Linked DNA regions of Xenopus tropicalis. The protein of the gene in region 1 purifies or fractionates together with the protein of each later gene. This does not show direct contact. Links are inferred from orthologs where the notes say so. Each region holds a gene or a part of one and is shown on either strand. Other genes may lie near its edges.

Region 1 (3,653 bases):
GGTAGGTACCTAATATATAGGGGCAGAGACAGGGGAAAGTGTTGGAAGGGTTACTGCCTGCCCTGCTCTCATTTCCCTACAGAAATAGGGGTTGGTAGCACTAGGTAGGTACCTAATATATAGGGGCAGAGAAAGGGGAAAGTGTTGGAAGGGTTACTGCCTGCCCTGCTCTCATTTCCCTACAGAAATAGGGGTTGGTAGCACTAGGTAGGTACCTAATATATAGGGCAGAGACAGGGGAAAGTGTTGGAAGGGTTACTGCCTGCCCTGCTCTCATTTCCCTACAGAAATAGGGGTTGGTAGCACTAGGTAGGTACCTAATATATAGGGGCAGAGACAGGGGAAAGTGTTGGAAGGGTTACTGCCTGCCCTGCTCTCATTTCCCTACAGAAATAGGGGTTGGTAGCACTAGGTAGGTACCTAATATATAGGGGCAGAGACAGGGGAAAGTGTTGGAAGGGTTACTGCCTGCCCTGCTCTCATTTCCCTACAGAAATAGGGGTTGGTAGCACTAGGTAGGTACCTAATATATAGGGGCAGAGACAGGGGAAAGTGTTGGAAGGGTTACTGCCTGCCCTGCTCTCATTTCCCTACAGAAATAGGGGTTGGTAGCACTAGGTAGGTACCTAATATATAAGGGCAGAGACAGGGGAAAGTGTTGGAAGGGTTACTGCCTGCCCTGCTCTCATTTCCCTACAGAAATAGGGGTTGGTAGCACTAGGTAGGTACCTAATATATAGGGGCAGAGACAGGGGAAAGTGTTGGAAGGGTTACTGCCTGCCCTGCTCTCATTTCCCTACAGAAATAGGGGTTGGTAGCACTAGGTAGGTACCTAATATATAGGGCAGAGACAGGGGAAAGTGTTGGAAGGGTTACTGCCTGCCCTGCTCTCATTTCCCTACAGAAATAGGGGTTGGTAGCACTAGGTAGGTACCTAATATATAGGGGCAGAGACAGGGGAAAGTGTTGGAAGGGTTACTGCCTGCTCTGCTCTCATTTCCCTACAGAAATAGGGGTTGGTAGCACTAGGTAGGTACCTAATATATAGGGGCAGAGAAAGGGGAAAGTGTTGGAAGGGTTACTGCCTGCCCTGCTCTCATTTCCCTACAGAAATAGGGGTTGGTAGCACTAGGTAGGTACCTAATATATAGGGGCAGAGACAGGGGAAAGTGTTGGAAGGGTTACTGCCTGCCCTGCTCTCATTTCCCTACAGAAATAGGGGTTGGTAGCACTAGGTAGGTACCTAATATATAGGGGCAGAGACAGGGGAAAGTGTTGGAAGGGTTACTGCCTGCCCTGCTCTCATTTCCCTACAGAAATAGGGGTTGGTAGCACTAGGTAGGTACCTAATATATAGGGGCAGAGACAGGGGAAAGTGTTGGAAGGGTTACTGCCTGCCCTGCTCTCATTTCCCTACAGAAATAGGGGTTGGTAGCACTAGGTAGGTACCTAATATATAAGGGCAGAGACAGGGGAAAGTGTTGGAAGGGTTACTGCCTGCCCTGCTCTCATTTCCCTACAGAAATAGGGGTTGGTAGCACTAGGTAGGTACCTAATATATAGGGGCAGAGACAGGGGAAAGTGTTGGAAGGGTTACTGCCTGCCCTGCTCTCATTTCCCTACAGAAATAGGGGTTTGGTAGCACTAGGTAGGTACCTAATATATAGGGGCAGAGAAAGGGGAAAGTGTTGGAAGGGTTACTGCCTGCCCTGCTCTCATTTCCCTACAGAAATAGGGGTTGGTAGCACTAGGTAGGTACCTAATATATAAGGGCAGAGACAGGGGAAAGTGTTGGAAGGGTTACTGCCTGCCCTGCTCTCATTTCCCTACAGAAATAGGGGTTGGTAGCACTAGGTAGGTACCTAATATATAGGGGCAGAGACAGGGGAAAGTGTTGGAAGGGTTACTGCCTGCCCTGCTCTCATTTCCCTACAGAAATAGGGGTTGGTAGCACTAGGTAGGTACCTAATATATAGGGGCAGAGACAGGGGAAAGTGTTGGAAGGGTTACTGCCTGCCCTGCTCTCATTTCCCTACAGAAATAGGGGTTGGTAGCACTAGGTAGGTACCTAATATATAGGGGCAGAGACAGGGGAAAGTGTTGGAGGGTTACTGCCTGCCCTGCTCTCATTTCCCTACAGAAATAGGGGTTGGTAGCACTAGGTAGGTACCTAATATATAGGGGCAGAGACAGGGGAAAGTGTTGGAAGGGTTACTGCCTGCCCTGCTCTCATTTCCCTACAGAAATAGGGGTTGGTAGCACTAGGTAGGTACCTAATATATGGGGGCAGAGACAGGGGAAAGTGTTGGAAGGGTTACTGCCTGCCCTGCTCTCATTTCCCTACAGAAATAGGGGTTGGTAGCACTAGGTAGGTACCTAATATATAGGGGCAGAGACAGGGGAAAGTGTTGGAAGGGTTACTGCCTGCCCTGCTCTCATTTCCCTACAGAAATAGGGGTTGGTAGCACTAGGTAGGTACCTAATATATAGGGGCAGAGACAGGGGAAAGTGTTGGAAGGGTTACTGCCTGCCCTGCTCTCATTTCCCTACAGAAATAGGGGTTGGTAGCACTAGGTAGGTACCTAATATATAGGGGCAGAGACAGGGGAAAGTGTTGGAAGGGTTAATGCCTGCCCTGCACCCAGCTGATGTGCCACATAGTGAATTTCAGATATTAAGGCCCAAACATTGACGTTACCTGCACAACGACGACCTGAATTGATACATGATCGGGTAGTCGGATGGGGGCCCGAAAATACTGTGACAGGGCAACCAGAAGATGAAGGATGGCTACCACAGACTTTGCATGGATTGCTGAAATAAAAGAAAAAAAATGAAGATTAAGTTGATTTTTCCCCCATTTGCCATACGGGCACCTAAAGGCCCAATATTCCCAGCAATCGTCAGAGCTACCAAGGCGGCTGGGGGTGCAGCTGCGCCAGGGCCTGTGTTCCAATAGGGCAGATTACTCTGTGTCATCAACATGCCAAGCTCTGATTGGTCAGTCAGTTCTGGTGGGCTGGAGAACACAGGCTCTGAGTGTTTAAAAAGTATTTGGAAAATATTTGTCCCCCCTGCCCCTCCTTCCCAGAGCCGACTGGGATTTATAATTGATCATGTGTGCAGGGCTGTCCAATCACAGGCCAGTACACTCCCCTTCCTGCTGCTTCTAGTGTGATGTAGAGCGTGCTATACTGAGACAATTTGCAATTGGTCTTCATTTTTTATTATTGGTAGCTTTTTAATTATTTTACTGTTTCTTCCGCAGCTCTGCAGTTTGGAATTTCAGCAGCTATCTGGTTGCTAGGGTCCAGTTTAACTTGGTAACCATGGAATGGTTTGAGAGATTAACTGGTATATGAATAGGAGAGGGGCTGAATAGTAAGACAAGCAATAAAAAGTAACAATAACAATAAAACTGGAGCCTCACAGAGCAATAGGGTTTGGCTGCCGGGGTCAGTGACCCCCATTTCAAAGATGGAAAGAGGCAGAAGAAGAAGGCAAATAATGATAAAACTATAAAAGATAAATAATGAAGACCAATTGAAAAGTTGCTTTGAACTGGCCATTCTGTAACATACTAAAAGTTATCTTAAACGTGAGGCAGCAAGTTTGCCCGGTAGCAGTAACCCATAGCAACCAATAAGATGTTG
Region 2 (3,653 bases), on another chromosome or scaffold:
CAAACATAGCGTCCTTTATTTATCACCCCCTAATTGTCTGCTATTTTGAAATCTTATGTATATTTTTATTTATTTAAATCTTATGTTTTAAACATATCTAATCCTGTGTTTGTGCTGGTCAGTATGAACAGGTTAAACAGTTTACCACGTGGGTTTGGCTCCTTGCCTGCTTTGGAAGTCCTTGACCTGACCTACAACAACATGAATGAGAACTCCCTGCCCGGAAATTTCTTTTATCTAAGTAAGAAATAGCACTGTAGCCTGTAAGACATTTAATCCTGTGTATATGCTGAAGTATGGGTATACAAACTATTATCTTGACTGCTTGGGATCTGTGCTTTTCTGTATAAGGGATCTTTCCATAATTTAGATCTCCATACCTTAAGGCTGTTAATAAATATTTAAACATAAAACAGAACCAATAGGACTGTCTTTCCACCAATATGAATTCATTCAGCTGAGATGCCTCCAAGTAAGAGGTACTGTTTAATTATTACAGAAAAAATTTAAATCATTTTTAAAAATGTGAATTTTTTGATTATAGTGGACTCTATGGGAGATGGCCTTTCCATAATTCAGAGCTTTCTGGATAACAGGTTTCCAGATAAGAGAGCTGGTAAAATAAAGCGCTAAAGAAGAGCAGATGCAAGCATAAAACCTCTATGGTCCACAGTACTACTGCTATACGATAATAATGCACACATTATGGGAGCAGCTCATTTAGTGGGGATTTTTACAGTTAATTACACAGAACAAATGTACAGCTTGCTATACTCGCGTGTTTAATAGAAATAGATTACTGACACATCCCACGAGTACTCTATAATCCCACATGGAAAAATATTGTTCTAAAAATATATAGGATTTTATGTTAAATTCACTAGTAAATACCTGGTACAGGCATAGGACCTTATATCCAGAATGTTCCTGGGGTCCTGCGGTTTTCCTGGGGTTTTCTGGATTAGGGATCTTTCCGTAATTTGGATACCTTAAGTCTATAATAAATTATTTAAAAATTAATTAAACCCAATAGATTATTTTGCCTCCAATAAGGATTAATTATACCTTAGTTGGGATCAAGTACAAGGTACTGTTTTATTATTACAGAGAAAGGGAAAATTATTTTTAAAAATTAGAATTATTTGCTTATAATGAAGTTTATTGTAGATGGCCTTCCTGTAATTCAGAACTTTCTGAATAAGGGATTTCTGGATAATGGATCCCATACCTGTATGAAACAGACAGTGACTTCTTTACGACAGTAATATTTAGATCAGTCTATAAAAGTACAGCACCGCCGGTAAAGGAAACCCTCTACGTGACAGCCACAAAATAAAGGGCACCGTTCGCAGCAGAAGAAACTGTTAATTGTGTCAGGCCTTTGGATATAAATGTTTTCCTGTACGGACAAGCCGTGCCATAAGCCACTAAATCTGCGCCTGACCTGCCTGTTATTATTGTGAGCCCTGGATGTGTCAAAGGCTTTTCACCACGTCGGGGTTATTAATCAGAGCTGACTGCTTTTTATTGATCACCGCTGAAGTGGTTGGGGCTACACACCGCCCTGTTTATATATTGCTGTTTAATTTGCAGCCACCCTGCGCGCACTCTATCTAAGTGACAACGATTTTGAAATCCTGCCGCCAGATATCGGGAAGCTCACGAAGTTGCAGATAGTAAGTAATTTATCTAAATTCCTGGAAAATCAATTCACTTTCGCAGCCCTTGTAAGACTGGAGTCTAGTCAATTTAAGAAGTAGTGTGCTTTATTTTTCAGCACAAGCTACTGACCCAGCACGGCTGCTTGTCTATCAGCACATTTGTGTAAATAAATTGGAATTCTGAAAGAGAGCGACGGAATAATAGCTGAGTCGCGCTTTATTTCCCATTTAATGCCATGGCAACTTTTGTGTTTTTGTTTCCCTTTCTAGATCAGTCTTCGGGATAATGACCTGATATCATTGCCTAAGGAAATAGGGGATCTCACCCAGCTTAAAGAGCTACATATACAAGGAAATAGGCTAACAGTCCTGCCCCCTGAACTTGGTAAGGTTTTGATCCATTTGTATCCAGTGCATTAAATAAGAACTGAATTTTAAAATCTTTATGCACAGAAATGTCTTTCTCTCAATGGTTATCACATCCAGCAGCCCGCTTCCTGAGGCACAGGCATAGGTGTTGATTCTGATAAATATGTCTACCTGTTAAAAAATTCCAGACTACTGAGAAAGTTTTCTACAATAGGGAAAATGTCAAAGGGCTGGGAATTCTTCAGGATTCTCCACATCAATATTTCATAAATCTGCCCCAAAGTTTCCCTTACTTTGGGACTGACTTCAGATATCTGTTTTATTGTTCTGTTTCTTAAGCATAATATGCACATCCAACTTTTCTTTATGTTATATTACACAGATATGTTGTCTTGGGCCAATGGCTTAGCTATAGAGCATTATAGGGTTTGTTTACCTTTTAATTAACTTTTAGTATGATGTAGAAAGTTATACTTGAGATTGGTCTTCATTTTTTTTTTTTTATTATTTGTGGTTTTCCTAATTATTTTACTCTCCAGTTTGTAATTTCAGCAGCTATCAGCCAGTTGCTAGGGTCCAAACTACCATAGCAATCAGTTGGTTTGAAAGAGACACTGGAATATAAATAGAAGAGGCCCTGAATAGAAAGATAACTAATAACATAATAAAGATAACATTAACAATACAATTGTTGCCTAAAAGGGCAATAGTTTTTTGACTGTTGGGGTCAGTGACCCCCAGTTGTAGCTGGAAAGAGTAAGAAGAAGGCAATTGTTTCCAAATCTATAAACAAATAAATAATGAAGACCAACTAAAAAGTTACTTAGAACTGGCCATTCTGCAACATACTGAAAGTTAACCTGAAGGTAAACCACCTCTTTAACATAGAAGGTTCACAGGTGACTGTTTTTATTATTCTGAAACTCCATTGTATTCAGATGTTTTGTATTAACTTATGAGGCTTTATACACAGGAACTCTTTCAGAGTGTATTCTGTTCACCCCCTTGGATGTTTTTGCATTTGCTGACTGACCCCCAGGGCATGAAAAGTGTGCGTTATTGAGTGTTGGTGGGGAATATACACAGCCGCTGAGGGTGACTGAGCAAAGAGTTTATGCAAGGCATATGCATCCAGGCATATTTTTTGGAATAAAACTTTTATTTTTCTAACCCTAAGTTTCTTTTTGTATGTTCATACAAAGGGGAAACAGTTTTCTCAAATCTTCAAGGCCCCAGTGTACAGGATACACATATTTCCAGAATGGGCATTCACACCTATGTTTTAGTCACAGGGCATTACCCACTGTAACCTTGGCTATGAATATCAACCCTAATATGAAAGTCACAGGCCTCTCCTTCTCCAACCCCTTTGTACCTTCCAGGTAGCCTCTGCCTTTGTCCCCTACCATGCAGTTGGTCTTTGTGGCTGGAGTGGCATTCAGCTCTGCCATGCATGTAAAGACAAATAAATTAAATAGGTGGTTCACCTTCAGGTTAACTTTCTGTCTGTTATTAAACAGCCTATTCTTGGCAATTTTTCAATTGGTCTTCATTTGTTTTTATTTTTAATTATTATTTTAATTTTTTCCAACTTTTAAATAGGGGTCACTGACCCCAGCAGAC

Evidence for each region.
Region 2: the proteins of parva (region 1) and rsu1 purify together in Homo sapiens (affinity purification with mass spectrometry; 3 studies listed by BioGRID and IntAct, counting the BioPlex papers as one, with this or other methods). This does not show direct contact. The link is inferred for Xenopus tropicalis from reciprocal best matches to the Homo sapiens genes PARVA and RSU1.

Annotation. Positions count from the first base shown.
Region 1 is NC_030680.2:6,469,512-6,473,164, reverse strand, and holds part of parva (alpha-parvin), read right to left. Parts: intron 2,815-3,653; coding exon 2,699-2,814; intron 1-2,698. UniProt on the Homo sapiens protein: Plays a role in sarcomere organization and in smooth muscle cell contraction. Required for normal development of the embryonic cardiovascular system, and for normal septation of the heart outflow tract.
Region 2 is NC_030682.2:28,758,835-28,762,487, forward strand, and holds part of rsu1 (ras suppressor protein 1), read left to right. Parts: intron 1-122; coding exon 123-241; intron 242-1,593; coding exon 1,594-1,676; intron 1,677-1,931; coding exon 1,932-2,046; intron 2,047-3,653. UniProt on the Homo sapiens protein: Potentially plays a role in the Ras signal transduction pathway. Capable of suppressing v-Ras transformation in vitro.